Linked DNA regions of Sus scrofa. The protein of the gene in region 2 interacts with the protein of the main gene of each other region in a biochemical or structural test. Links are inferred from orthologs where the notes say so. Each region holds a gene or a part of one and is shown on either strand. Other genes may lie near its edges. The genes, in order: NGFR and NGF.

What was found.
Region 1: the proteins of NGF (region 2) and NGFR form a complex in vitro, tested with the Homo sapiens proteins (2 studies listed by BioGRID and IntAct, with this or other methods). The link is inferred for Sus scrofa from reciprocal best matches to the Homo sapiens genes NGF and NGFR.

What each region holds. Positions count from the first base shown.
Region 1 is NC_010454.4:25,693,450-25,709,190, reverse strand, and holds the start of NGFR (tumor necrosis factor receptor superfamily member 16), read right to left. Parts: upstream 9,782-15,741; 5' UTR 9,645-9,781; coding exon 9,576-9,644; intron 1,958-9,575; coding exon 1,816-1,957; intron 1-1,815. UniProt on the Homo sapiens protein: Low affinity receptor which can bind to NGF, BDNF, NTF3, and NTF4. Forms a heterodimeric receptor with SORCS2 that binds the precursor forms of NGF, BDNF and NTF3 with high affinity, and has much lower affinity for mature NGF and BDNF.
Region 2 is NC_010446.5:105,248,942-105,264,554, reverse strand, and holds the start of NGF (beta-nerve growth factor), read right to left. Parts: upstream 7,865-15,613; 5' UTR 7,766-7,864; intron 7,748-7,765; exon of another isoform or gene 7,594-7,747; intron 1-7,593. UniProt on the Homo sapiens protein: Nerve growth factor is important for the development and maintenance of the sympathetic and sensory nervous systems.

The DNA.
Region 1 (15,741 bases), on a different chromosome or scaffold from region 2:
TGTTTTACTTAACCTCTCTGAGCTTTTCTTCTTTCTCTATAAAACGGGGAGTAAAGTCTTCACTCCCTGTTGTGGTGAGGAATAAGTGAAATTCCACTGTAAAGTACTTGACCCCCAGCAGGGGTCCTGTAAAGGTTGGGCTTCCCCAGGGTGGGCAATGAACTTCAGTAGCAGGGCTATTAGTCAGACAGCAGAAAGAACGCCCAAACCTAAATGGCCAAGGCAGGATGTCCAGTTTATACAAGAGGCTCCTATCTGGTTGGCAAGTGGCACGGGGGTGGGTCTAGTCACAGGGGAAGGGAAGGGGAGCTTCCTGGCCATGGGAACATACAGAAAATTAGCAGCCAACTCCTGGGGAGAGAGTTTTAGGAGGTGGGGAAAATGTGGTCTTTTTTGGCAGAGAATGAAGGCAGGAGCTTAATGGGTTTCCTTGTGGAAACGTTTTGAGGATAGAGGGAAAGTCCACTGGGGTCTCGGTCTCATAAAGTGGGCTTGTAAAGGCAGCTCGTTAACACAGCTGGGGCGGGGGATGGGGAAGAAGGGGGGCAGAGGGAGGAAACGGGAGGGAAAATTCCGAGCTGGTCTCTGGTCCTGTCTTCCCTCCCCTTCCCTCTCTCAGCCTCTTCTATCCCACCCCTTACTTCAGACAGAAAGGTTTGCGGTCCCATCCTAGGCGACTTAGGACCCAAGGAGAGGCGGTCCTGGGGTAGGAACTGAGAGAGGCAAATACCAGAGGTCGCAGGGCAGCTGATGGTTGGCCAGCCCTGCACTGGGATGGAAACTCTGCATGGCCAGAGCCAGCAGTGGTGGCCAGAGGGCAAGGTAGCAAAGGCATTGCAGGATGACCAGCCTCCTCACCTGGCCCCAGGCATCCCTCTGCTGGGGGATGAGTTATAGGATCCACAAGCACAGAAATAGGAAAACTGTATGGTCGGGACATCAAGGAGTTGGGGTTGCCTGAAGAAGAGAGAGCGTGTGTGCCTTGCGATGTTGGTGGTGGGCTGGCTCCAAAGGTTAAAGACAGGCTGGTGGGTGTGTTCAGAGTCCCCAGTTCCTGTAACCTTGTTCCCAGCATGATTAAAGAACAGTCTGAGTAGAATTCCCACTGGTCCTGCAGATGGGCATTGAGTAGCCAGTTAGAAGGCAGGATCTGACAATCAACAGTGAGGAGACGTTTCCAGGCAGACCTGCCATCTTTCTGCCTCCCTCATCCAGCAGCGCTGGAAGACTCCTCTTCCCAAGGAAATCCCAGATAGGAATGGCCACAGCGCCCCTCCCCCATCCTGACCTCAACCCCCCTGTAAAGACATCCTTGTAGGGCGCCAGCCTCCATCCCCGCTGATGGGGAAAGCTCTGCTTCCTCGGTCAGGGCTGGAGAACAGTTGGCCTGGGGGGAGGTGTAGCCACACCCTCCCAGGATCCCCCAAGGTCAGTCTCCAGGACAGCCAGGATTTGATCTTCCTCCCCTCCCCACAAACACGCGGAGGGTAAGTGGCAGCCATTGATTTTGCAGTGCAGCGGATATTTTTAGCTGGTCTTAGCATCAGCTACTCCTCCCACCTGGCCAGAACACTCTTCTACAAGGCTTCTCTGCTAGGGGTCTCTGGAAGGGGCGCCCCCCCACCCCAGGGATTCCCCCCTCAGGTCCCCCTCCTCCCTCTGCATGCTTCTTTCATCCATTCGGAGCTTCCCCTCTCTGCCTCCTATCCTGCGGCAGACTCACTCCTGGTGCCCAAGCAGTGATGGGCAGGAGTCCCTGCCAGGACTCGGAGTGTGCCCTCCACCCCCTTCCCCACGCTGGTCATCTATACTCACTGTCCAGGCAGGGCTCACACACGGTCTGGTTGGCTCCGCAAGGCTGGGCCACGCCTTCACCCAGGTTGCAGGCTTTGCAGCACTCGCCGCTGTGAGTGTACATGCCTGTGGGACAGGTCTCCTTGGCACCTCCAAGGGACACCTGAGTGGGGGAAGGTCAGAAGATCAGACTGGCAAGAGATGGAGGAGGGGTGGATTCCGACGGAGCAAACATCCCCTTCTAAAGCCTTCTATTGGAACCACCTGGGCCCGGATGAGCTCACCAGGGAGGCATTTGGCACTTGAAAGCTGGTGGGGAAGAAAGGCCACGGGGGACAGTGCACCCCTGCAGGCTGCTGGGAGTGTGAGGTCAGAGCCTTGGATGCTGACTTTCTGCAAAGTTCATCTTGGGGTTACAGCAGCTCCTAGAATCCCAAGGATACATCATGGGGGGAAGGCAACCTGAGGTCCAGCAGAGAGACTTGGAGCAGCTGAAGCGGCAGGCAGGTTGCAGCTTGCATAGGACTCCCAGCCAAGGAGGTGACTAGAAACTGAAATCTAGCCCAAATGCCACCTGCTAAGCTGCACACCTGCAAGGATGCGTGTACCCAAAGAGGAGTCTTTTTCTAACAAAGGGCAGCCGGGCTCCGGGTCCTTAATTCTACCATTCCACATATTAAGTATGAAATGGGAGGGGTCTGTACCCAAGAACAGAGGTGGGACCTTGGGTTCAAATTTTGGCTCTGCTCTGAGAGTTCTGACCTGCCCTGCTTTCCCTCTCTGATTCTGCATCTCTCTGGACAGAGAGAGAGAGAGAGAGAGAGGGAGTCACCTTAGGGCCAAAGCAAAAGAGCAGCCAATCATCAAGAGTCTGGCGCCAAGACGGGAGAAAAGGCTGCCTGTTATCAATGATGAGAAAGTGGCAGCTCTCACCATCCAGCAGCCCTGCTCCACCAGGGTCTGATTTCCAGCCACCAGCCCGCCCCTCTCCCTGCCCCCCAGGCAGCCAGTGGGACCTGCATTGGAAACAGGGGAGAGGGGAGTCAGATTCCTGCCGCTGAAGCATCTTTGCTCATGGATGGAATGATTTAGCACCAGATTCCCTAGAGGGAGGGGCTGCTGCCAGCTTGCTTTGTATTTCTGTTCCTTTAAAAAAAAAAAAAAAAAAAAAAAACTTAATATCTAATAAAATTCCAAAGCCTGTTTCCCTGGCTCCAGACCATGCAGCCCTCATTTGATGCTCAGAGGAAACAGGGGCTTTTGGATCATGGGACTAGAGGGGCGCTGTCCAGGTCATTTGGGACATTCCCCTGCTGCTTCCATGTTGGCCCAAAACATGTCTTTCCCTCCAGTCCTTTCAAATATCCTGAGGTCTCAGCAGGGTTTGATGGAGGTAGGGGGATGGCCAGGTTGGATCAGTTGAGGAGGCAGCCACTAGTTCTCAAGAGCCCAATGGGGAGGGTGCAGGCAGCCTAGGAGGGGAACCGTGGGTGCTGCCACCGTCTTCTCCCAGGTGGCAGGGACGGGGTGCTGGGAACATCTGCAGACCAGAAGCCCGGTGGGGGTGGGGTGGGGGGGTGTAGTCCCCGACACGAGGTTTCCCCCAGGAGGTGAGCAAGACTCCAGATTCCAGAAGGGTCTGTTCAGATTTCTTTTCATCCTTCAGGACTCTGCTTAAATGTCACTTCATCAGGGAAGTGGTCCCGTGGTCCCAAGCCTTCCTGGATCAGGCGGAGCCACCTTGTCCCTTGTCCTCCCTGTTCGGTCTTCCTGTCTGGTCTGAGTCTCTGCAGACACCCCCATGGGACTGTCAGCTCCCTGAGAGCAGGGACTGTGCTGGCCTCAGTGCCTGAGACAGAACCTGGCACATATTAGGGACCCAACGTGTATATTTCTGGAATTTAAGACAGTGAGACAATATGGCCTCGATTAATGAGAACTCCAGGGACCAACTCTCTCCGTAGAGAGCTGAGATTCTGGAAGGTCAAGGATTTGCTGCTCTTCTCATCTAATGGTTTTCACTTTTAACTATGGGCGCTTCCCCTTCCTCTGTCTCTGAAACACACTTTCACCGTTTCCCTATGACTCAGGGGCTCAATAGTTACACGAGCGATTTTTCTGGGCGGCGATGCAGTGATGCCCTATGTTCTTTATCACAAATGACCACACTTTTGTCTCTTGGAGTTCTCCTGTCAGCTTTTCTTACCATTTTTCTGTCTCCTCCTTTCCTGTCAAGGTATCAGTTGTCAACTCTCGCTGCTCCCAGTGTGACCGGAGCAGCCCCTCCCCCATTCTAATGTATTAGGTCTAATTGAATCTTTAGAAAGTACGTAACTAGCCCTGGTGGGAAGATGTATAAAGGGAATGAAAGCAGGATCTGAACCAAAAGGGGGGGCCCTTCTCAGAGTAAAAAGTGTGAGTTCTCCTGCCTTCATCATTGCGCTGAATCCTTGCTCATGGCTTAGAGTGAGGTGACCTGGGACGGGTTTGGAATTTCTCTGCGCCTCAGTTTCTTCCTCATTAGGTAATTATGACAGGACCTGCCTCAGAAGGTGGCTGTAAGCATTATGTAAATGAGTAAGCTGTGTATTTACTTTGAGACCCCTCCTTTCTCTTTTGCAAGGTCTTTCTGGCATTCTTTTGGCTTTGGGCTGAGTTCCCGTTAATTGGGGTCAGTAGAGACCTGGGCCCGGGATAGTGGAAGGGTCTGTCGTGGCAGTGGGCGGAGTGGCAGCCCCGTGCCCCGCCCTCCTGTCAAAGCCCACTGGTGGTCCTCTCTCTTCTCCCAAGTCTTTCATTTGGAGTCAAGGCTACATAATTAGTAACCATGTGTTTCCTGTGCTTGTTTTGTGTTCTAGTTCAAAACATTCCAGATCTGCTACTGAATAAGCATGTTGCTTTGGGTAAATTCTCTATCTCTGTTAAGCCTCAGTTTTCCCAACTAAAACACTGGGTTGGTGATATCTACTGCCCAGGGTGGCTGTGAAAAGTAAATGTAATTTATGCAAATCTGTCTGGTGCACAGTAAGAGTTTAATAAATGTTACATTTATTTATTTATTTGTTTTTTAGAGGGCTGCACCCTCAGCATATGGAGGTTCCCAGACTAGGGGTCCAATCGGAGCTACAGATGCTGGCCTACGCCACAGCCACACCAGATCCGAGCCGCATCTGCGACCTATACCACAGCTCACGGCAATGCCGGATCCTTAACCCACTGAGCGAGGCCAGGGATCAAACCTACAACCTCATGGTTCCTAGTCAGATTCATTTCCTCTGCGCCAGGATGGAAACTTTAAATGTTACTAATTAAAGAAGTGTCTTGTCTTAAGGACAAGCTGAACTGCTAAGCCTGGGCAGGGGATGGGGGTGGGGTGGGGGGAAGAGAGTAGGTAGCAGGAAGGGAGAGGTTTTTATTTTTATTTTTTTATTTTTTGTCTTTTTGCCTTTTCTTGAGCTGCTCCCGCAGCATACGGAAGTTCCCGGGCTAGGGGTCTAATCGGATCCGAGCTGCATCTGCAACTACACCACAGCTCACGGCAACGCCGGATCCTTAATGCCCTGAGCAAGGCCAGGGATCGAACCCACAACCTCATGGTTCCTAGTTGGATTCGTTAACCACTGCGCCACAATGGGAACTCCAGGGAGGGGAGAGTTTAGCCATCCCCAAAGAGGGAAAACCATCTCAGAGCAGGGGGCAAGATAGGAGTGAAGACAGACACCCACCAAGAAGAGTCTGAAGGAGGATGGGGACCAAAGGAGGATGGGGACCTGCTCTGTTCAAAGTTAATTAAGTCAGCAGCTATTTCCTAAGCATTGGACTGAGTTTCCAATGACTGAGTCACTTTGCTGTACAGTAGAAATTGGCAGAACATTGTAAATCAACTATCATTTTAAAATACTTGGAGTTCCCGTCGAGGCGCAGTGCTTAATGAATCCGAATAGGAACCATGAGGTTGCGGGTTCCATCCCTGCCCTTGTTCAGTGGGTTAAGGATCCGGCATTGCCATGAGCTGTGGTGTAGGTTGCAGATGTGGCTCAGATCCTGCGTTGCTGTGGCTCTGGCGTAAGCCAGTGGCTACAGCTCCAATTAGACCCCTAGCCTGGGAACCTCCATGTGCCACGGGAGTGGCCCTGGAAGAGGCAAAAAGACATAAATAAATAAATAAAATACTTTTTTAAAAAAAGGAACTAAGAGTGTCTCTTAAGACATGGTCCCTGACTCCTGGAAGGAGTTATGGTCCCACGATGGAGAGAAAATATCACCCCAAAGAGTTGCTCCAGAAGCTGAGGAGGAAAGACTTGAGGGATTGCCGTCATGGGACAGAGGTGGAAACTGAGGCCCACAGAGGTCATGCTGCTCACCGGCCTGATGCACCACCCGGCCACACTCCCTCTGGGTTCAAGGCCCAGCAATCTTGGGAAGGAGGGAGGGATGGCGAGGATTCAGGCTAATGGCTCCAAACGATGGATTTGCCAAAATGACAGACACATTTGCTTGAAATTTACATTTATTACACTTACTCATTTCCATGTCTGATGGAATGATTTCGTTCCATTTTTGAGAATGTTTGCAAATCTTTTCCTTTTTTTTTTTTTTGTTCTTTTTGCCATTTCCAGGCTTTCAAGAAATTAAGGTGGAAACACCCTTACGTGAATGGACTTTTAAGATTTAATTTTTCAAAACTGGACCCAATAGAGAATACGCCGAAATAGTTGAAAGAATCTGAAACTACAGGCAGGCTTCAGTGTGGTGAGTCCTAAGCATTCACAGCAGCTTCAGCAAAGGGTTCCTTAAGTGAATGGAGCCATTGGCCACTGTCACGGGGTTGGAGAGTTTTCAAACATGGGAAGGGTCTTTGAGACCAATGCAAACCCTGGGGAGGCACATGCCCCCTCAACCCTTTAGACAGGGGTGGAGTTTGGGGTCAAAGACAAGAGCGAATTACTGAGGAGGATGTTGCAGTAATAATTTGAAAGGGGGCGGGCTGGGAGAGAGGGGCTCAGCTATAACTTTGTGGTGCCAAGAGCACCGGACACGATCTAATGTGTAATTCAAGGCCACGTGTCCTTCCGTGATCTGGAAGGTTGGGGGAGGGGCCGGTGCCTGGCATAAGGAGGACAGAGTAAACTCCAAGCCAGGCACCCTAGGTTCCAACAAGGGCGCCACCATCTACTAAACTGGGAGAGCCTGATTTCGCGTCTGAAGGTCCGGGAGGTTCAGCTCTCTCAGCTGTAAATGGGAATAACTAGATTGACTCGGCTGGGACCTTATAAGGATTAAATAACATAAGAGAAATTACTCAGGGCCATGCATGGCACGCAGTAGGCACTCAATCAATTTTATTATTCCCGCCTCCCCGCCCCGCACCCCCAGGGAAGAATCTAGGCGCGTGCACGGGACCTGGCTGGTACAGCGGCGTGGGAACACCTTCCCTTCCGAGGCGCCTCCCCCACCCGGCCCCGCTCGCGTGCTCGCATTTGCTGCCGTCGCTGCATCCCTATTATGCGCATTAGCCAGTCCAGCGGCTCCGGTTACAGACGTCTGAATGACAAAGTGCCTCCATTACCGGCGCGGCTCGCCAGCCGACCCGCCGGGACGCGCTCTGGTTTCAGCACTCTCTCGCCGCGGCCCAGGAAGAAACTCGGACCGCTGCGGTGCACAGAGCCAGCCCCGAGACAGCAGCCCCGCGGCAAGGCGGAGGCGAGAGTCCCAGGGGCTGCAGGCGGCAGATTCCGAGCGGGGTCCACCTTTCCGAGCCCCCAGGCCCTCCACGCGCAGCTCCCCTCCTGTCTCGCCTTTTCCCTCCTCGGCGGACACCCTCCAGCCCAGATCCGGAGCCCACGCCCTCGCCTCTCCGGGATCCGCACTACAGTCCCCCCCACCCCCCTTCCCGCTCCCTTCCTCCCCGGCTGAGAAGCATCTTTAACCCGTGACGTTAGTCAGCAAACGTGCCCGCAGTCACTCCCACATGCCCGGACGAAGCCACAGGTACTAGCATCCCAGAGAACTGGGGCTGAGCTTCGAGGATAGGGCCAGCACCCGGAGAGGCTCTCTGCCCATCCCAGCCCCCAATATTCCGTCGGCCGGACTCTGTCACGCCGACCCGCCGCCGCCGAGCCACGCAGCTCTTAACCCAAGCTGGGACGCCGGGCAGCCCCTTTTAAGAGGTACGGGGAGTACCGGGCTGGGAATCAGGTGAGGGGCAGGCTAGCTAAGAATTCTGGCTCTACTTGCTTGTGGGATCTTGAGCAATTGGCTTCAACTCTCAGAGCCTCTGTCTGTAAAGCTGGGATTTGGAGATGCGAGGCTCCGATGAGAGATGAAGATGGCAGGGAGAGTGAGGACACCTCCTCCATTGCCAAACCTCTCAGGGCACTCGGTTCATGGCCACACACCAGGTCACATCTCCTGAATGTCTCGGCAGAACTTCCGGGCGGACTTTGACGCTCACGAGGACCCACGGTCCTTTTCCGGGACAGAATCCCAGGCGTACAAGCACCCCCGTTTTGTTCCTTGCCCGGTGTCTTTCACCCAAGGCTGGGCGGGGCGCGGAAACAGAGCGAACCACCAGCGCGACGCTCGGGCTGCTTAACTTAACTGGAGGTCGGGGTGGCGGTGCGGCGCTTAGCCACAGTCGCGCGGGTAGCTGCGACGGCTCAGCCCTCGCGCCACAGCGCCCCCTGCGGGCCGCCTTCGCCTGCGCGCTACCCCGACCTTCCCCGCCTTGCGCGTCCCGCCTCTCTGCACCCCAAGAAGTGGCGGCGACCAGAACCCGTCGGACGACGCCTAGCTCTGTCCCATCCTGTCCTCCGCTCTGCTTCAAACTGCGAGAATAAATGCGGAGGAGGAGCCCGCCGGTCGCCGGAGAACCCGGAGAGCGGGTTCGCCCCGGCGAAGTGGGCACTCCCTTCCTAGCTTCGGACCCCAAGCCGCAATTGCCTGACCTCGCGAGGCCGGGAGAAAGAGCGCGCGACAGGCGCGGGAAGTGTCTGTGCCTCTGCCCTCTCTTCTCGTCCCACTGTCCCTCCGCGGGCAGGCGGGGCCCCGACCACCTTAGGGTCCGTTCTCCCTTCTCCGTCCTCTCGTTTTGCTTCCATCTCTCTACCTCCCTCACCGCCATCCCTTTTCTGCCCTCTCTTAACCATTTCTCTTTCTTCAACAGAGCCCCGCTCCACGAACGTCTCCCTCCCACGCCCCTCCCCCCCATTGTCTGGCTGGTCCTCATTGTCCGATGCCCAGTCCCCTTTGCCTCCAGTCCCTGCAACCTCCTCTCCCATTGTTCCATCCCCTTGTCTCCGGTTCCCCGCCCTAACCACGCTCGCCCCTCACTTCTCTAGTTCCCGTCCCATTCCTTCTCCTTCTCTAGCCCAGGTTCCGTCCCATGACCCTCCAGAGATCAAGATGCTCAGGGGGGAAGTCGCCTCGAGATCTTGGCATTCAAGCGCCTTCTTCCAAGGAACCCAGGCATCCGAGAGCCCCACGGTCCCCTTCTGAGAGACCCTTCCCAGCTCCTCCACACATATACCTCCTGGTACCTGAGGACCCGCATCCGTGCGCCCCTCTTATCCGCATCTCTACCCTGGATCTCAGGGTCGCCTCTTCGCTCTGAAATCCTTAGATGCTCCTCTGTGGATACTGGCATCGGAGCTTCTCTCCCGCCATCCGCCCCCAGCATCGAGGACCCCAGCCCTCTTTTCTATTTTCCCTCGAGGAAACCTGAACTCATCAGGGTTCCGGTCCTGGGAAAGGGAGCGGGCTCCTCTCCGGCTAGCACTCACCCCCTGGAGCAGCAGCAGCAGCAGCAGGCGCGGCCAGTCCATGGCGCAGCCGGCGGCACCTGCCCCCATCGCCCGCCTACCGTGGCAGCGCTCGGCTTCCAGTGGAGTCCGCTCCGCGGACCGATGGGGCTGCTCTGCGCTGCGCTCGAGCGCCCGCCCCCCGGAGCTGGCCGAGGCTCGGCTCCCTCTGGCTGAGGGCGGGAGGGGCTGAGGGAAGCCAGTGCGGCGGCCCCGCCTCCTCCGCGCCCCGCCCGCCCGCCCGCCCACCCCCGGAACCGCTCCCGCCCGCCCTGCCGCCTCCGGGAGGGGAGCGAAGGGGAGGGAGGGCTTGCGGGGAGCCGCGCCCGCCCGCCCCGCTGCCGCTTCTCCGCGCCCCGGCCCTCCGAGTCTATCCCCCACCCCGCCCGGGTACCCGGCGCCTGGCCAGCGCTACAGCGCGTCTGTCCCGGATGCTGTGGGCTCGGGGCGTCCCCACTGCGGCTCCCACTCCCTTGGGCTGCGGCCCCCCGCAGGGTTCACTCTCCTACCTGCCTTTCCCTGCCACTGGCTTCAGCTTCTTCCCCGGTGCCCTGCTCCCTACCCAGCCGCATCAGCAATAATACCCACTGGCCTATAGGCCACCCCTCCCTCTGCCCCTGCCCGGTGCTGGGGCGGAGGGGGGGTACGGGTGTTGGGGGGTGGTTGTCTGTGCGGAGGCCTAGGGGAGAGGGAGGGGGGTCAGCAGGTGGCCTGACCATGACCGCAAGCAGCGGGGATGTTCAAGGTGGAGTCCATCCCGCTATCAACTGAATTCTCAAAAGATGGGTTTGAAGGGATCACAGGTGTGTACACGCACAAAAAGGAACACACCCACTCCCAAGCTCCCATATATATGTGCTTGTGCACTCACACGTGCCCACACCATGCTCACGCAGTCCTGTAGACCTGCGCATGCGACACATACGTGTGCACCTCCACACATGCACACTCATCTCCCATGTGCTCATAATATGCAGACACACGTACTCACCTACACACTCACACACACTTGTGTACGGATGCAGTTACGTCACGTGGAACACACGCACGGTCATGAACACACACACTTACACGCAAACAAGAGCATAGATGCATCCTAAACACTTTGCCTTCATTGGATTGTGTTTACATTAGCTGATAAGCACCGTGCAGGTGGGGACTATGGTTTCTTATCTGAATGCCTCGTACACAGTAGGCGTTTGGAAAAGGTCTGGAGAAGGGAATAGAGGTAAAATTGGTTGGATGGACTCACATCCAGGTACCTGTCCATGTACTACGGTCGCCTTCCCCAGGACTGCACTCACCATGCCTTAGAAAGCTTGGCAGTTCCTAATCATAGCACCCCACCCCACCCCAGCACCCCAGGGAGTGTGCTGCCAGTCTTTGGGTGGGAACCACTCCCACGTCTACCTTGATGTCCCCCCCCCCACTACCTGTTCCCACCCTCTCCTAGTTCCCAAACAGGAAGGCCCAGGAGGAGAGCTGGGGAGGGGGGATAAGTCGACAAAGTCCATCCCCTCACCCTGATCTTGGCCAGATGTACATCAGTTTAGACTTGGAAAAAAAAAAAAATAGGGCTACTATCCCACATTCAGGGAGAAGGGGCAGATTAAGACACTTGTGTCTCAAGAGGGCATGCTCGCTGCTGGTAGGTGATGTCGCAGCTGTAATGATCAGCTGCAGCTATTTCATTCATTCATGGGGGATAAAAATCTTCCTTGCAGATTTCTTTCTTGTATAACCAACAAAGGACATCCCCAGAAAGGACAGGCAGACATCGCTGTGGCCTTGACTGTGAATGTACATGACCCCCTTTGATGGCTGGGCCTGAGAGGCCAGGCGGCTAGCCCCCCTTCAGAAATCCCCAAGGATGCCCTCCTCCCAGACCGGGATCACTTTGTTGTTGTTGTTGTTTTGGCCACACCCAAGACATGCAGAATTTCCCAGCCAGGGATCAGACCTGCACCCCCGCAGTGACAACACCAGGTCCTTAACCTGCTGCGGCACCAGGGAACTCCCAAAGGATCGCTTTTAAGCTTTCTCCTCCTGCTGCTTTTAGAGCCTTGCCTTTCCTCTCAGCTAAATTCATGGAAGGCAGGAAAGGGGCAACATTAGTATTAACAGCAGCGCTGAGCTGCTTACTACCCAGGGTATCGACAGTATGGCATTAATTTAAATACTCCTGTTATTAATTTATGATCCCAGTTACTATTATTGCCGAGCTTATCCATCTCAACACAATTTAATCTGACCCGCACCACTATGGCTGGGCCTGGGTTATTAATAATTTCCATGGTCTTGATCATTTAAGCCTTACTTGAACAATCACAAACAGCAATGGTTACTATTATTAGCAGTATTTCTATGATTAAGCCAGAGCACAAGACCATGATGTCATGCTGAGTGCTGGTCGGGAGAGTGGCTATGAATTGCGTAAAGAAGAGAGCACTGAACTGAGAGTCAGAGCTAGCCACAAATCCCTACATCTCCCACCCACCCCTGCATCAGGTACTTCTGCAGGGTCTGATGTTATGTCATCTCTCTCAGCCTGTTTCCTCATCTATAAAATGGTAATTTTTTTTTTCCCTAAGGCTGCTCCTGCAGCATATGGAGGGTCCCAGGCTAGGGGTCAAATCGGAGCTGTAGCCACCGGCCTACACCAGAGCCACAGCAACTCGGGATCCAAGCTGCGTTGGCAACCTACACCCAGCTCATGGCAACGCCGGATCCTTAACCCACTGAGCGAGGCCAGGGATCGAACCCTCAACCTCATGGTTCCTAGTCGGATTCGTTAATCACTGAGCCACAAAGGGAACTCCCTATAAAATGGTAATTTTTTAAAAAGATCCTATCTTGGAGTTCCCTCGTGGCCCAGTGGGTTGAGGCTCTGGTGCTGGTCACTGCTGTGGTGCCAGTTCAATCCCTGGCCCTGGAAAGTTAAAAAAAAAAAATCTTATCTTAAAGGGAAAATAAAATTCATCAAAGAAAAGACTCAAAGAGTTCCCACCGTAGCGCAGTGGGTTAGGGACCCAGCGCTGCTCGAAGCGGTGGCATAGATGGCCGCTGTAGCTCGAATGCAATCCTTGGCCCAGGAACTTCCATATGCCATGGGTGCAGCCAAAATAAAAAAGATACTGCATCCCCTTTAATCCATTCAACATGTGTTTATTGCGCATCTACTATGGGCCACACCCTGTTCTAGCGGTGAACAAAAGCAGCTACCCTCATGGAGCTGAGGTTCTGGTGTGATAGTGACGTGATATGAAGGATTATTTTAGAATGTGACACCTTGGCTTGATCATTAGCGAGATGGCATGGCTCTGATCAGAGTGCTCCTTTGCAGCAGGGATTCCTGTTCCTCGTGAGTGCTGAATACTTGAGTCGGTCCCTTTTCCCAGGAACACTATCAGAGGCCCTATGGTGCCCCTATCTGCCGGATCCCAACTCCCCCACCTTTTTTTTTTTTTTTTTTTCTTTTTGGATCTCTCCGCAGCATATGGCGTTCAGATCCGAGTTGCAGTTGTGACCGATGCCAAAGCTGCAACACTGGATCCTCAACCCACCGTGCCGGGCCAGGGATTGAACCTGCATCCCAGTGCTGCAGAGACGCCACAGCAGGAACTCCCCAGTTCCCTAACTGTCTCGATTCCTAGCCCCAAACATGAGCATCCTTCACCAATTTCTTCCTAACTCCACTCCCTTTCCCCTAAGCCTCAGCACGTGCAGCAGCAGCAGCCGTGGGAGGGGGCATGGGGAGAGGGTTCTTAGGAGCTGACCGGCAAGTGGGATCAGACAGGCAGCAGCAAGGGGGCAGCAGTTTTCACAGGAGGGTCCCCGGGTACCATCTCCCATAACTGAACTGCACGTATAGAGGGCTCCTCCTCCACCACCACACACATGCCAGGGCTTCCTGGACCTAATAGGGACCCCAAGGTGAAAGGGTGGAGAATCTCAAAGCCAATCTACATGGAGCTGGGAGTGGTACTGGTGGGTCAGACCGCATCTTCAGGAGGTGAAATGCGAGGGGTGTGGCCCTCTCTGCTTCATCTCACCGTTGCTCCATCACCCTGCCCCTGCAGAAAGGCAAGGTCCTAACCCATATTCCCTGGCGTCCCTTTCCGCTGGGACTCCTCGCTTAGGGCCCTCTGCAAAACATTGCTCGGAGCTCCCTGTGTCTGCCTTCAGCCCCTCTTCCCCACCCCCCTCCCCCGCAGTCACTAGGGAACCAGCCTACAGCGCCAACTTACTTCCAAGCAGAAATGCGGGTGCAGACAATGAGCTCACATTTATGGAGAAATCCTAGGGGCCGGAAGATCCACATAATCTTTTTTTTTTTTTTTTTTAAGGACCTCAGATGTGGCATATGGAAGTTTCCAGGCCAGGGGTCAAATTGGAGCTGCACCTGCCTGCCTATACCACAGCGACAGCAATGCCAGATCCAAGCCTCATCTTTGACCTACACCACGGCTCATGGCAACCCATTGAGCGAGGCTAGGGATCGAACCTGCATCCTCATGGATCTTAGTCGGTTTCATTACCACTGAGCCACAATGGCAAACCCCCACCCCCCGCCCCCACACAATCTTTAATCCCCACCGCAGTGTCATGAAAGAGGGGCTGGGTTCACCACATACAGATGAAGAGACTGAGGCTTGAAAAGGTTAAGCCACTTTTTCCTTCTGGGGGAGACGCCACCCCCAAAAGAAGCAGTGGTGCCATAAGTGGCCACTATACTGTAGAAGGCACTTCACAGCCACGTGTCACCATTAACCCCCATGTCCCAGCCACTCCTCCCCCTCCACCACCACCCCTCCAGCCTTCACTCCAAGAACCTACATCTCAGAACAAGCATCTCACTTGGCCCTTCAATACTGGCACTCAGATGCTCCCTCCTGACACGCCTGCACACGAATCTGGGCTTCGGCCGGGGTTGGATGGCCTGAGGGAAGCCGAGGTATGGTCTCTGTCATTTAACTGAAGGCACAAGTGTCGAGCTCTTCTGGTGAGCATTCACTGCTTCTTTTTTTTTATTTTTTTTCTTATTTTTTAAATTTTGTGGTATTCTTTTTAGGATCATGTGAAATTTATGTAACTTTGAAAGATAGGAAATTTTTTTAAGGAAAATAATAATTAATTAATTAATTGATTAATTTGTCTTTTTAGGGCCATACCCGCGGCATATGGAAGTTCCCAGGCTAGGGGTCAAATTGGAGCTGTAGCTGCTGGCCTTCGCCACAGCCACGGCAACACAAGCTCCGAGTCAAATCTGTTACCTACACCGCAGTTCACGGCACCGCCAGATCCTTAACTCACTGATCAGGACCAGGGATGGAACCCACATCTTCATGGATACTAGTCAGGTTCATTGCCAGTGGGCCACAATGGGAACTCCGAGCATTCTCTTTTCCTGCTTTGGGAGCAGCACCTTGCCTATCCTCCAGTTCCACCGTCCAGCCAGAAAAGGGGCGAAGGGAGATGGGCAAGGAGAGAACAGTTTTTGAGGGAGGGGGTGGGAGGTGCTGGGCCTCCCTCAGCTGCAGCCCTTATGCCCCCGGGCACTGGGCCAGGCAAGGTAAGTGAAACCCGCTGCCCCCCATCAGGGGTGAGCTCAGTGGCCTTGAAGTGTGATGCAGTGATTACCTCTGGGCTGACTCGCCAGCTGCAAGGGGCACCTGACCAATGAGGGGGCAGAGTGGGGGCTGGGGACTAATTTGGGGTCAGCCACGTTGGATTCCGGAGCTGCGTTAGTAGTGAGATGGGCAAGAGGTATTAGTCAATTTTGGAGTCCAGTTAGATTAACTGGAACATCAAAGTGGGCCCGTTCCATGGTGCCCTCCCCCACCATCTGCTCCAGCTCAGAGGCGGGTCCTCCTCCCTTCCTGCTGCCACCCTATCCTGCAAGGGGCGCGGACTGACCCGTGTGTGTCAGCTTCGCTCACCTCTGAGCCCTTCCGGGGGTTATGCTCCCATGAAAACAACTCTCTTCAACTTCCATACCTGCGGCATATGGAAGTTCCCCGGCTAGGGGTGGAATCAGGACCTGCAGCCACAATTCTACACCACAGTCACAGCAATGCCAGATCCGAGCCGCATCTGCGACCTACGCCACAGCTCACGGCAATGCTGGACCCTTAACCCACTGAGCGAG
Region 2 (15,613 bases):
GAAACTATTTTCTCTGCTTTCAGAACCTAAAGGACACATCTGCTCTGACGGGGCAATGCACAGTCACCATCTAACAATAAATGCCCCAGGAAAAGAACAACGCAAGTGGTTGGCTCTTATCATTCCACCATCAAGTGTAGTGCTGTCTTTCTCAATCTGGGGTGAGTACACCCAGAATCTGAAATTTCTGTGCTTTGCAGGGAAGTGCATATGTCTTCACCCTGGTTTAGGATTTGGGGGTGATTTTGTTTCAGCAGCTGGGGGGCAGGGACAGGGTTGGCTCAATCAGCTTTAGATCATGGAAAGTGAGGTCCAGATCAGGTGGCTCCAGCACAAGTCAGCCCGGAGGAGCCGCGGACTCGGTGACTTCACTCCAAGCAATGTGCATGCTAATTGAGAAAACATGTTCCTGTGATGGCCTCATGCAGAAATCCAGATTTACGAATTTTTTTTTATTCCTAAGAATTCCTTGAATATTTGCCGTGCGTGTCTATACAGCCTCCCGGAGTACTTTTCCTTCTTACCCAGTAGAGTTGTGTTTTTCAGCTGTGGCCCAGGTCAGGTTTTGAAAGGGTGGGATTCTGACAGAGCAAGTGGGCACACGGTCTCAGGCCTCGGAGAGAAGCAGGAAGGCGGCAGGAGGGGAGAAAAACAGCTTACACATACTCTCCCTCTTCTGGGGCAGGAAAAGCAACAGGAGCCCAAGTCCTTGGAAAGCAACTGTTTACAAAACTCAGTGAGGGGCCCTTCCTCATGCCTCTGGCCCTTAACGCCCTCTGGGCTGGCTAAAGCCCACCCGCCCAGCCATCGGACAGGGCTCAGGCTCACTGGGCACCAGCTCCATTCCAGGCTCTGGGATGAGTCAGTGCTCTCCAGCCCTCCCTCCCTCATTCACCCTCACAACTGACTTCCAAGAGCAGTATAATGAGCCCCTTTTAGAGAAGAGCAAACTGAGGTTTGGAGGGATTGAGTAATGTGGTTACAGAGTCAACAAGAGGCAGAGCTTGGATCTGAAGCTAGGTCTCTTTTGTGCCAGGGTTGCTTGTCTACAGTCCTACCCACCTGCAGGACATCCCCTCCCCAGGAGCCTCCCTAGAGGGCACCTTGCCCCAAACCTCTCTGAGAGCCACACAGCTAAGCCTTCTACAGCTAGTCTCTGTTTTGATATTGCTCGTAACTGCTCCAAGAGTGTTACGAGCAGGAAGGCAGCAGGAGGAGAGACAAACTAGATGCAAAAACAAACGAACAGACAAACAAACAACAAAAAACCCCCCAGCAGACAGGTTTTGCTTGGTCCACATGGATGTTTCGAAAAGTGAAGAAACTATATAATCGAACTCAAAATTCTGACTCTTTCGGAAAAGTTGGAAAATCTGCCCACATGGTCCTACAGACCTGCAAAGCAATAGATGGCCTTTCCCCTCTTGATGGGACAGACCCTCTCTAGTTTGTTTTCTGCAGCCACCACCAGCCTATGGCCTTACCTCATTTACGTTATCCGATGAGGCATTTCCACTTTGACTCTTGAGCAAGCTCCTTGGACAAGACCATGATTTATACTTATTATGACTCTCCAAGTGCCCAGGCCTCTAGTTAGCATATTAATTAAGATGCTAGGAGTTCCCCTCATGGCTTAGCGGTTAACGAACTTGACTAGGATCCATGAGGTTGTAGGTTCAATCCCTGGCCTCACTCAGTAGGTTAAGGATCCAGCGTTGCCGTGAGCTGTGGTATAGGTTGCAGATGTGGCTCAGATACTGCATTGCTATGGCTGTGGTATAGGCTACAGCTCTAATTCAACCCCCTAGCCTGGGAACCTCAATATGTTGCGGGTACAGCCCTAAAATAGCAAAAAAAAAAAAAAAAGATGCTAATTGGGAGAAGAAAGATCAATCCAGCAGCCTGAGGTCAGGGGGCTGAGGACTGGTCCCTCTTTAACCAAAGGTTATATGCAATTCAGCAACTGCTGTTCAGCCACTGACCCTTGGGGTGAGAGAGAGCACAAACACCTGGCTGCCGTAGAAAAATTCACTTCTTCCTCTTCTATCTCTAGTAAACTTGATAAGGTACATAAAATCCTAAGGAAACGAGCTGTTGGAGGAGGACAAGTTGTTATGTGGGGTAAGGAACCAAAACACTCTTAAAGCTGCCAGTACAAATGGCCATTCTCAAGAAATGCCTTATTTAGAGAGCATTACATAACATTTCTGAAATACAAGTCTGAGACGAAGTTTGCCTCTGAAAGAAAATTACAGGAAAATGTCCATGAGTTCCCTTTTGCTTGGATATAATGAGGCCAAAGTAATTCAGAAGATGAAATGTTTGGTTAAAATTCTATCAAAATGAGGACATTAAATAGAGAAGGTCAAAATACAGGTGGGTAAGTTCCTAGAGGAGCTTCAGTACGACCAGGAAGATTTCTTCTCTCCGTGTAACAAAGCTTTACATATACAGAGACATAAAAAATGCAAAGATGAGGTTGTCCAACCTGAACTAAAAAGCATAAAGGGAGGAATTCCGCAGACCCCTCTGGGCACCGAGGGAGAACACGAGGGATGGGAACTTGTGTTTGTTGAGCGCCTGCTGTGCACCAGGCCTGTGATGTTCCACCAGTATCCTCCCACTTGATGCGTACAACAGCCCGACAGAGCGGGTATCACTGTTATCTCTGTTTTATGGAAGAAAAACACTGGCTACAAAAGAAGCCTTCCTGCATCTCTGTTCTCCTGGTGCTCATCTCCTTCCTCCCTGCTCGCCTAGTCCAGCGTCCTTCGGGCAGTTAGAGCCCACCTTGAACCTTGTGGTTTCCTCCTTCCTTAGAAACCACAATCCAAAGGAACCTGCCTCTCTTGCATCTCCCGAACAACATGGGGGTTTAGCTTTTGGTTACTGACAAGAATGAGGTGGTCCCCCGTATGTTAACCTCTAAGCCAGGTCTACTCAGGTCCAAACATGGGATGGCACGTCCCCAGAATACACAAGTGAGAAATGCAAGTCACTTTAACTACCACTCTGATCCACAGTGATTGGGGCGGGGGCACCAAGTCTTCAACCGCATCTCTGATCCACAGCCATGGGACTTGGGGGGGGGCATTGAGACAGGACCCCCTCCCCCCAACCTGGCTGAGCTCTCATGGCTCCCAGCAGACAGTGCTCCCTGGAACTTACTTGGGAACGTGAACACTATGCAGCCAGATGTTATATTCCACCAACCTTGGCTACCAAAAAAGCAGCCAGAGGAAATGGGAAGATCAGCCCATCTGTACCAAAGAGCAAATACTTTGTGGTTATTGGGAGACAATCCCAGTAGTCGTGGATTGTAGCTGCCCTCGATGTGGAAAGGCTTCTGTGGGAAGCTTGGGCTGTTCGTTCCCACTGACTTCAGAGCCAGATCGTTCCACTTGCAGAGCTTTCCACCTGCAGAGCCACCCCAGGCAGTGCCAAAACATCTCCATCTGCTTACTCCGGTGGGGAATTTTCAGGGAAACCCTGACTGTCTGACTGACTAATACTACTCCTAATAAAAAGACTTCCGCGTGTAAAAGAGGTTGGCCAATTCAGAAAGCATTGTTGCTAGTCCCACTTGACAGATTGCATCATCAGACCTGTCTCAACTTCATTTGGGAATCTCCTTAAGTCTCTTATGTCCTTTTTTTTTTTTTTTTTGGCCTCATTAGGAATCAATTCTAAACTCTGCCAGCTCTACTGTTTTGGTAGTTTTCTCTCTTCTACTGCTTGGGAGTGAGTAGCAAGCAATAACATCCTCCAAAGACATTATTCATTTTAGCTCTTTGCACTATGAATAACCAAATGGTCCTATTTTTTAATTCTCTGGTGAGATTTTGGTAAGGATAAGTGAACTGTTCTACGTGAGAATAAACCCAGTCTTACAAGCACCATCCCTCCAGTGCAGCATTACTAGCCTACTTTTTCAATCGAATGTCACATTATTAATTCTCATTTATTCTCACAGCTTGGGCACAGTTGTATTAATTTGATACCAACGTGTGCCCATGTTGTATTAAGTGTTGTCGATGCTGGGGAGGGTTCTGCTTCCTCGTTCTCTCATTCAGGGAAGGGACCTCCTGGTGCCAGAGTGTGATCCACTTAGTGAAGGAGAGAAGGATTTCCTCCCAATGCTGTGGACACCCGGGGCAGGCAGTCTGCCTGTGTTTTTAATAGCATATGGCAGAGAAGGAAGCCGCCATGCTCTAATACCGCCTGTCCCTTCTCCCTCCTCTTTCTGGTTTTCTTTTCATATGGTTCAGTTGTAGTCACGTTCCACTGACCAAAGCAAAGGACAATGCCTGGCAGAGCCACAGCACTGAGGTTCCTGCAACTGGCTTCCTGGAGCCTGATACGCTGGCTCCTGGAGGATGAAGCCCAGGGCTGGACACCTGAAGCCCAAATTTAATGATTAAATAATAGATGACCAGACTATAGGGCTGAAAGGCCTGTATTGGTAATTTCCAAGGGAGTTCTCAACTGGGAGCAGTATTATCCTTCTAATAAGCATTTAGCCACATATGGGGGGAGGGGATTTGGGGTAATCACCGTGACTTCTGGCATTTAATAGGCAGGTAGGGGCACTAAACTTCCTGCATTATGTAAATAGGTCACCCTTCACCAAGAATCGTCCCCAGGTGCCAACAGCCCCTTTGAGAAACACTGTTAATCCACTACCCTTGTCCTATAGAATGGGAAAGTAGTCTGAGAAGTTTAGTGACTCGCTCAAGGTCACAAAGCTACTTCCCCTCCTGTCTCATAACTCAGGAGACGACCACAGGAAGCTTACCCGAAATATGGGAGCAAAATAGCAAGAGATCATTTCAAGGGGATTCCCACTGTATTGTATTCTGAGACCAACAACCTATAGAAACTCCTCCAAAACATGTAAAGTAACCCAGAGAAGAGTAATGAAAAAATCATGAGCATAGGCCCTTTTTATTATACATTTTCATTATTATGGCCTTGGCTAAATTTTGTGGCAAAATGTCTATCCTCTCAGCTTAAATAGTGACACTTTCATCCTTTGCACACCTGAAAGGTCAGTGACTTCAAAGCCTCAGTTTCTCTAGCTGCATTTCTGCTTCAGGGCCATCCGAGTTTTCCTGCTATTTAGAGTTAGGATGTTAACTGGTTCCCCACTGTCAGGAAGCAAGGTCTCTGGCAATGAGTTGGAGAAGGGTCTTTCATTTCCATTTACTTGCTAGAGGCTGCCATATGCTGTGAAACTGGTCCATCACAAGAGATGATTTGTCAGGATGAGCTAAGCCTGATTCCTAACAGTTTAGCTGATGGTTTGCAAGATCAGAGGTGCTAGTCAAAGGAGGAGCAACCCTCTGTGAATATGGATTGTTTGCTCAGTGATATCCAGATTTTGATATGAATCCTCAGCCAGCCTTCCACTGCCTGCTGAGAACAGCAAGTGGTTTCTCCGCGGCTCCAAGGCAGTTGCCACTGAAACAAGGCATGCCACGAATGTGCAGCACTCGTGCTCAGCACTCATTTAAAAGTTGTGCCATTTTCCCATCAGTTTAATCTCAGTAATGATGAGAAACTTCCCTCAGGCTCCAGCCCTGCCCTGCCATGCCCTACCCTCCCTGCTGATGTCGGCAGCTGGGGGCCCCTTCCTGGCCATCACACAAATTTCTCCATGGAGGAGGAGAGTGTGAAGCCTCATCCCCTGCTCCCTCCAGCCCCCTGGGTGGGGGAGACATGTGGTGGGCAACAGGAGAAGCTGAGAACCTCACTCCTTGACAAAGGTTAAGGATATCGAAAGAGTCACCAGTATGAGGATAGCTGCCTGAGTGGACCCAGCTTGCCATTTCTCTAGTGGGTCTGGGCCTGGGTTGCTTTGGGGTAGGATGGCTGCCGGGGCAGGCATGGCACAAGCAGCTGGCTATAAAATCCTCTGAGGTACTCCTATAGCTCTATCAAAACATGAGTCCCCATGCCTCAGAGATTTGTGGTGCCTCCTAACATTTTCCCCATCAAGACTGCCCTTTTTCCCACCTGCCTAAAAATGTTGGGAAAATCATGGTGGGGGGGGTTGGCAGCATGTGATGGTAATCCCAACCCCCTTCAATGACCCAAGTATGAGCCACATTCAAGGCCAGCAGGGCCAGTCCCAGCCCCCAGACCATTCACACTCCCCACCCCTAGTCCTCAGTTGCTGCTGAACCTCTGGGAACAGATCCCATAATGGACTGACATTTGGGCCGGCCAGGCTGACGTATGACTTCTGCAGAAGAGACCCATGCAGATCCAATGTAGCCTTTCTTCATTGGCTCTTCAGAAGGGGAAAGTTTCAGACGTTCAAACTGTAGACACTGCACAGGAAGGGCTGGCAGGGTCCAATGGCTGCTGCCCTCCTCTGCGCTGAGAGGAAGAAGTAGTCCCCTCCGGCCGCAGACTTAACTGACAACTTCAAGTTTGAAGACCCGGAATAGAAGATACTGGTGGGCCCGCCACTGCCATTCTGAATTTGAGAAAGCAGCTGACCATACATGTGAGTGGGGGAGGAGGTGTCTGGCGCTGGCAGTGGGTGTGCCCAGAGGATGGAGCCAGGACAATTAATCAAGTGCCTTTTCTCCAGGATTTCCATTGGCCTCAGATGACGGAGGGGGCAGAGATACCCAGGAGAGTCCTATTTTGGTTTCCCGCTGGGAACGTGCACTAAGTTTTTCTTAATACCCATAGCACCCAAAGGCTTTACTGTAATACCCTTTAATGCATGAAACACCCATAAATTATCCGACAAACTGTTACAACTTCCAACCTGGAACAACTTGGAAAAACCAGCCTAGCAAGCAAGCTCTTTTTTAATCTCTCAAATCACAAGAGAAGAGAAAAGTTCAAGCAGAAAACACCTTCCATGAGAATCTCAGTTGTTGTTGTTTGGAAAGAAAAAGGAGAGTTGTAATCAGAGTGAAGCCGCTTGTTTACGATGGCTCAAAGATGCCGCTCGCGACCCGGAGTCCTGTCTCTCCCTCCCCTAGGTCTTTGCCGTCTGGACCCAAGGCACTGCCGCCCCACCCCTCCATACTAGCTTCTCCCGCACCTGGCAGCAGACAGCTGGAGGTGAGGCGTGTAACCCACGTAGCAGGACCTTGCATGGAGTCCCTTGGCGAGCAGGCTTCCTCTAACAACCCCTGGGGCCCTCTCTGGGGATTCCCAGTTCTCCAGCGACCGGCGAAGGAACCCGGAGACCCTTGCTTCATGCCCTGCACCAGGTCCAGGGCCCCCTGCCCGCTCATCCCCTTCCCTGGGGGCAGCGTAGCACTCGAGGGACTAGGCACACACCCCAGCCCGCGCGCGCCCTGCACTCGCACTCCGCCGTGCAGATCACCACTCCTGCGGCCCCGGCGCGCTCGCAGCCCGCGCATCCCTCTCGCCACACTCGTTCGCTCTCTCTCACTTGAGTGCCGTCCCCCTTCTAGCCCTCGAGCTAGTCCTTGGCACCGCCGTACAGCGATTTCAAGCGCCAGAGTGGCCTCCCGCACTTCGGGCCATCGGGAGGTTGGGAACTCCACGACCTGAGAGAGCCCTGCTCCCCACGACTCGCCCACCCGCCGAGGCTCCCGCACCCACTTGGGACGCTCCTCTCACGGCCGCAGTTCAGCCCATGGGAGCCTCCGGGGCACCCAGAGATCTGGCCACACTGGGATCCACGCATACTCTCCCCGGGAGCCCAGCCACGCCGGACCGCGCCGGTGCCCGAGCTGCGCCCCTCTCGGGCTGGGCTCAGGGCAGCCTGACTCACCGCTGCGCTCCCCTCTGGCTCCCAGCGCTCTCTGCTGTGCCGGAGCGCCGAGCTGCTCTAACACAGGCTTCTTGAATTCTTAGCCCCTCCTCCCGGACTCCTGAGTCACCCACTCCAAATCCTTTCCCCCACTCCAACCCTCCGCAGCCCCAGCCCCGCACCTGCTCCAGCCAGGCGGAGGTGCCCGCCAGTAGGGGTCCTGGGGACCAGAGAGCGATCTTTCCCGGGAGGGCGGGCTTGACCCAGCCAGGGTTGGGGGTCAAACCTCCAGAGGTCAAAAGGAAATGCATCGGCATTGGAGGGGCCGCTTGCAAAGCCCTACTGGCTGGGGATTTTTCTGGGGCACCAGGCGGGGGTGCTGGCCTCGGACGCCAAAGGGCCAACTGGCTGGGGGTGGGCGGAGTCGCCGGGAGCTCCCCGCACCTCCCCTCCCTTCCCTCCTGCGAAGCCGGCAGCCCGCGCCTTGCTTCCAGCTCCTCTGGGGTCTGCCTGGTGCCATCCTTCGTGCCCTGGGCTTGGGCTGCTCCAGCTCCTGGGAGCCAAGAGAGAAAAGCCCAGAGACCTTTTTTCCCAGGACGCCTCCTGTCACCCTGGGAGAAAAGAGTACCCAGGGGAGCTCCAGGAGATGCAGGTTCCTGACTCCTCTGACACAGGGAGAGCTGTGGCTCCTACAGCAGAACCAGCTAGAAGGCCCTGGGGCAGGGCACTTAGGCATTAGGACCTAGAATCAGAGCCTTACCTTCAGGCCCTGATTATAGAAGCTTCCTTTCCGGGGTGCCTGATCCTTCTGAAATTGTAAGCAGATTTGTCTACTGTGTGATGTGTGGTTTTTCTGGGTGGAGGGTTCCCAACTTTCATCAGTTTTGCAAAAGTTCTGTGACTCTAAACTGACCCAGGCAGAGAGCCTTCTGCCCCACCCCAAGCCCTACCCAAATTCTTTTTCTCCGCCATCCGTACTTTCAGTTAGGCAGGATCTCGTAGCTGGCCCACCAAGATTTCTTGGGTTCCATGGATTCAGAGCTTGACCAGGGAGTTTGTCTGACCCATAGCCCAGAAATATCCCTAAAGTCAGATTTCCACCAAATGTGCATCATTAATTGTAATAATGTTCTGGGGGATTCATGGAGCTTTGAAAATTCACACCCCCGTCCCCTGGTATTGAGCTTGTATGTAGGTGTCTTCACTTCTTCCTTGAGCAAATTGCATACAGAACCCCTCCTCTGTGCCTGATGCCACACGGGAGGAAGGCTTGGAGAAGAGAGTTAGAGAGATAGGTGGTGGGGGGAGGCAGGCAGAGACTCCCTTTGTGGGTGAAGCTCTGACAGCACAATTAAGGTGAAGGTCACTCTCAGGCACTGGGATTTAGTGAGGCACAGGAGTTCCTGCTTTAAGTCCAAGGGTGGCCCTTGTCCCCCAGTGGAGGGCACTTGAGCCACGTGAGGCCCCGCTTAGGCACTTGACACAGACTAACCTGAGGTTTCCGCTTCTTTCTGGTTTTACCTTTGCTCCCATACTTTATTCACCCACATATGTATGCTCTGAGAGGGATGAGGTAGGAGAAAAACCCCAGACTCAGAAGAGCGTTTGAGCTTTGATACGACCTCGTTATTTCCCAGCAAAGCCTCTTTCCCTTGAGTTGTTCAGATGCAAACTGGTGGAGGAACACTTTGGAGGTGAGTGTAAGCAGCCGGAGCCACCATGAATGGGCCTTTCTGTAGAAGCAGCATCAGAGTCAGGGTGATCCATTAGGAAATTTATCACCGTCAGTTAAACAAAGGAATTTCCAGACAATAGGACAAATTCATTCATCAATCATGTCATGTATAAACTTGTTTGAAAGCACCAGCCCTAAGCCTTACATAATAGCTGCCCAAGAATTTAGGGATGAAGTTACAAATTTTAGAATAACAGAATTTGGTTGTTGAATACAGAGCTTTTGTAGGTGTCCTTGTGGCATCCCCGAGGACAAAAAGGATTAGGGGCACTTGTTCTTTTTCATGTGGAGTGTAAGAAGCAAATTTAAAAATGATGTAAACCTGGATGCCCCACCCCCCAAATTATTGATCACATTCTGATGGCACATGTTGATTTAATAAGTGCTCCTTTCCTCCCCTGAATAGCTCTGTTTATGTCCTTGAGCTTTAAGGATCTTGAGTCAAGTATAGCATGTAAATAACAAATGCACACTCCAAAGGTTGATTGTTGAGCACCTGCTATGTGCCAGGCCCTGCGAGATATCTAAGGTACCTGATCAGGGAGCTTGTGTTTTTGTGGGGGCTGGATTAGCAGTTCCTAGCCACATCTGTCACCACCTCTCCTGGTCCTAGCACAGGGTCTGTCACACAGTAGGTGTTCAGTGAATGCCTGTTAAATCCAGCAGTGATCAGAACCACGTGTGGCTGTCAGCCAACCCATCTACACTGGATCGGTTTCCAGCAGGTCCAGGTCAGACTGTCCTTGGCACAGAGACATAGCCAGGTGTCTCTTCTCTTGCATCTTCCATTGTCACTCAGGGCCCAAACAGAAACATCTTTCTCCTGGGTCATTGGAACAAGGACCTTAAGGCCTGGACCAGCTACATTTATAGGAATGAAAACAGCTGAGAGGGCAGCAGGCAGGAGGAATGGTGTGGACAAGCAGAGGATAAGAATGTTTTTCTGGACTTGATTTTCTCAAAAGAGCTTTTTATCCAAGATATCAAAATAACTAGCAGCTGATACATTTGCTGCCTTGGAGGACAGATTGTGGCATGCACAGTAATTGTTGTTATTTCTGAGGATTCAACCACTGAGTGCCTCATCAACGGCAGCACTCAGCCTAGTGCAAAGCTCCAGCCTCTCCTTTGCTTCATTCCAGAAGGCCAGGACAAAGTGCACAAGCTATTTAAAACATCAGGAGGCTCAGCAGCGAGCTGCCAGTACTGATGGAATCGCCAGATCTGCTTGCCATACGTGTGAACCAGAAATATTGACACATTGTCCCAGTTGCTGGCGGAAGTGATAACTTCAGCTCAAAGATTTTTTTTTGTTTTGTTTTGTTTCCTTCTAATCAGAGTCGAGAAAAACTTCAGAAAAGGAAATGTTTTATCATGCTTAGTGAGATGACATGGTTGCAGAATCACAGAGAAGATCATTCTAGCCACCTCATTCATGGAGGAGGACACAAGGGTTCGGGAAGGACAAGGGCTCAGCCAAGTACAAACAGCCAGGGTCAGGACCAGAACTCAGGCCTCTTGACTTCTGAGCAGGTCTTCTTGTTACCACAGTTTCTGAAAGAGGCTGAGGGAAAGACCTCCCATCTCTGGCCTAAGCAGGGAAGCTGGTAAAGGAGCCCAGAAAGGCCAGGTGCAGACAACACTGCCATCAGGGGTCTCCCCCTTCTCTCTGGGGGACCACCCCTGCCTACTCACGGGGCCTCTCTCTGTCTTTTCTCCCTCTCTGATATCTTCTGTTCTCCCTCTCTACAGGTTCCCTCCCTTTGGCTTGTGAGCACTCACTTGCCTTTTTCTCTTACAGAAACCTCTGGCCTTCCTCCTGCTTGACCACTGAATTTCTCAGCTTCCTTTCACTACCAGATTCCTCAGCAAAGTCATCTACACCCACTGGTTCCTTGGCTCCCTTTAACTTCCCGCAATCTGGTTCCCATCTCTTCCCCGTATCCCTACTGAACTCTTGTCTTCTTCAAGGTCACCAGTTGCAAGAAGCACACCTCCACCAACATAATAATGGCAGCATTTATTGAGGGCATTCCTTGTTTTAGGCCCTGGGCAAGGCATCCTGTGGCCCCATCAGTAGGTATCATCTGTTTGTAAATGAAGAAGCTGAGGACCTAAGAGATAAATCTCTTGCTCAGCATACGTCAGTGACTGAGCAGAGATGTGACCCAAATCTGTGATGCTCTTGCTGTTGAACACCGGGTCTCTTCCTCCTTTCAGCCAAGTTCAGCAGCCTTTGCCAGTCCTCAGCCTCCTCTAGGATGACCTCCATTATCTAAGACTTGCTTTCCGAGGCTTCTGTGACCGTGCTGGCCTGGCTTGCCATCCACCTCTCCGATTTTTTCGTCTGCCCTTGAAACGCATGAGCCTCCCGTGGCTCAGACCAGGACTTGACATTCTCCCCCATGCGCACTCTTCCGGGTGTTCCCTCCTCTTTTTATGATTTCACCCCCACGTCAACCCTGACCTCTCACACATGCCCCTCAGTCACCCACATTTTGAATGTCCCTATGTGCCAGGAGCTCCCTGGGTTCCCTTCAGACCACGTGCACAGGCACTAGCAAGGGCTCTGCTGCCACCACCCCACCCCAACACCTCCACCTGAAGTCCTTAACTCCTCCTGCTCAGCCCTGCAGAGCTCATTCTTGGTACCAGAAAATCCTAGCTGGGCGCAGAGCAGTTCAGCTTTTCTCCAGCGGGGGCACCACAGCCCAGGAAAGCCACTAGCTGGGGACAGGGAAGAGTTCACTCCTCTCAGATGGTGCAACCTTGGGAGAAAGCTCTCTCCTCTTTGAGCCATAAGAAGTATAATTACTTGTAATTATATAATTAGACATTAAATAATTAATATCTGAGCACCTGCTATGGGCCAGTCCTGTTCTAGGTGCCAGGGATTCAGCAAGTGAATGGAACAACCTCTAGTCACCTGGAACTAAGTAATCAAGTTAAGTTGTTTAACCCATTTAATAAATAAGTATTTAAAAACATTTTATACCAGGTCTGTCAAGAATAAAATTGTGATTTTGTTGAGCTTGATTTGGAAAGGAAAGTGAGACAGGTATAGAAACCGGCCAGGGTAAAACAAGTGGTCTCCTTAGGTGTAGCATCAAGCAAGCCTCCTAGCAGACTGGAGTCTCTCTACTCTCCTGATGCAAACAGCTGTGAACCTCCAGCTGCTCAGACTGGTCCAGCTCCATCCCCACAAAGGCCTCCATCGACCCTGTGGCCAGCACGCGGACAGCGCAGTTCTTGTCCTCATGGGTGCTGTGTTCAGACACCTCTGAGGCTCTCCCACTTCTCTCCCTCCAGGGTGAGTCCTCAGTGCTCCTCAGAAGCCCCACAGCACTTCTGCTACCCCAGAGCCTTCACTTTGGTCCTCACTCTGCAGCCCCTATGGGGCCTGACCTCAAGTGTTCCTATTGGGGCCACTGTAGAGCTGCCCCGAGGCAGGGTCCCCAGTGATCAAATTCTGGCTGCAGAGCAGCATGGCTGTCCTTTCCTGTCCATGGTGCCATGTTGACAATCAGGCTTCTGTGGTGCTGAGTCACAGGCAGGACCCTCACATTTGTAACGCTCCTGTGGAGGAGTCTGGGCTGGGTGGCTTCTGCTGCATCCTGGGTGGCTTTCTGTCACCTCAGTGGCCCAACTCAGCACTTATTACAGTCCTGTTCTGGGGTAGGATCTGTGTTAGGTACAAGCAAACAAGGATCAAGAAGGAGTGTTTCCTGCCATATGGAAACTTACTTTCCAGCAAGGAAGTAGTGGAAGCTCAGGGGATGGAGCGTTTGACCAACTTGGAGCTTCAGAGCCTCTTTGTTGTGCCCGTTGCACTAGCACACATTCTATATTCCTTAAAGCCCTGTGTCCTCTGGCCCCTCATGCCCTTCATCTTCCCCTCTTGCAACTTCCTTTTCTTTTCTACAGCTCCAGCCTCGGTGACTATTTTTATTTCATTTAATAAGCTGCGCTGGCACCTCTGGGCTCTATACTCCTTTTTTTCAGTTCCTCCAAAACTACCACCCCTCTCCTCCAGCTCCACCTTGCTCATTTCTCTTCCTTTGGGGCTCATCTTTCAGAATCTTAGATGACATTTCTAATGCGGTATCATTGATCCCCCAAGTCAAGACTGGGTGCCCTTTCTAGGAACTTCTGTAACACTCTGTATTGCATAGAGCAAATGCTTAATAAGTATATGTCAATGAGTTATTGCTCAAGCTAAGCTTTGAGGCATGAGTAGGAGCCAGGGAAGAATGTTGGAAAGAGCAACATTTTGGAGGCAACCATTAGAACTAAGGTGTGCAAGTGTGAAATGGCATGGTGCATGCAGGAAGCTGCAGCCAGTTCAGAAGTAATGGGATATGAAGTGTCAAGAAATGAAGCTGGAGAGTCCCAGGTGAGGTCAGGGAGAGTGTGGATAATGGAGGGTTGGGCCTGTGCAGGGAGACCACCTGGGGTCTATAGTCATTCTCAGGAAAAGTGGTCGTTCCTCAGTGTCATCTCTCATGAGAGTGGGGGAATCTGGGGTATTTATCCTCCAACTTCCTTTCAAAATTGGTTGAAAGCTACTTTGGAGGAGGGAAGAATAATCCCCACCACTATTCGTCTGCCTCCTGTACCTGTTGAACACACACCTGCAGCCATAGAAAGCCCCCAGGTGCTTGTAGAAAGAGGTCATCATCATGCACCTCAATAGTGAGATCTGAAGGGATACGGGAGTTCCCATGATAGCTCAGCAGTTAACAAACCCAGCTAGAATCCACAAGGATGTGGATTCGATCCCTGGCCTTGTTTAGTGGGTCAGAGATCCAGTGTTGCCAGGAGCTGTGGTGTAAGTTGCAGATGTGGCTTGAATCTGGCGAGCTGTGACTGTGGCGTAGGCAGGCAGCTATATCTCCAGTTTGACCCCTACCCTGAGAACCTCCATATGCCATGGGTGCAGCCCTAAAAAGACCAAAAAAAAAAAAATTGTAGGGATATGGATGGTGGCCCTGGTACCTTATGCTGCACATTCTTAGCCTGAAGCTCTAAAGTCTTCCATTCTCTACTCCCAGTTTGCTCTTCTTGAATTGAAACATAAAGGTCACATCCAAGTGAACAATGATGATGACGGCCTAAGCAGGTCACCAGGAGCTAAGCATAGAGAGGAGACGAATTCAAAATAAATGTAAAAGGTGTGTTAGGACATAAGCATGGTTGGATGAAGGATGGGGGGCAAAGGGGTCTCCTGGATGTCCCTGGCTTCCTGGTTTGCCTGACCAGTTAATGTCAGTGCCCACTGTGGAGATGGGCATCAATGGTGGAGCCTGTGGTTGGGCTAGGATACAGAGGTCTTCAGTTTAGGATTTGGGGGGACCTGTGGTCCAGAGTCTGCAGATTAGGAAAGATGGAGTGTCAGACTGCAGGCTGGCAGTCTGAACACTCCATACAGGCTGAAAGAGCCAGTGGCGTTATCTCCAAGTCTCTACTGAGGACTCCCTTCTCCTCAATGCCATTCTCTCATTCTTCCACCATATTGGCACCAAACCAACTCTGGGGCATCGCCCGAGCCCAGGGAAACAGGCCACTTGCTCCAGTGGTCTCTGGTTCTCTCCTGTGTTTCTATCGCACTCACCCCCGCCTTTGGGACGGCCAAGTGAGGGAAAATGAAGACCTTGACCAATGATCGCCTGGTCCACCCTTCCTTTCTTCTGCCTGTTCTGCTCCACAGGGCTGAAAGGGAGCACTTTTTCCTCTTCCTTTCCTCAGTCAGACCTCCTCTTATGTCACACCATGAGCTGTCCCCACCTTAGGCCTATAGCGAAACTCTTGGATCGAGAGCTCTAAGCCTAGGTCTTGGTATTTTAATAGGACCTTAAGGAATTCAGAACCTACCCTACCCCCCCACACACTTTTATTTTGACGCTGAGAATACTTAGCTTTCAAAACCATTGTCTTGCTGTAGGCTCAAAAATCCTACTCTGGAGTTCCGTCGTGGACAGTGGTAACGAATCCGATAGGAACATGAGGTGCGGGTTCGGTCCTGCCTGTCAGTGGAATGACGGCGTGCGGAGCTGTGGTGTAGGTGCAGATGCGGTCGGATCTGCGTTGCGTGGCTGTGGTGTGGCAGTGGCTACAGCTCCGATTCGACCCTAGCT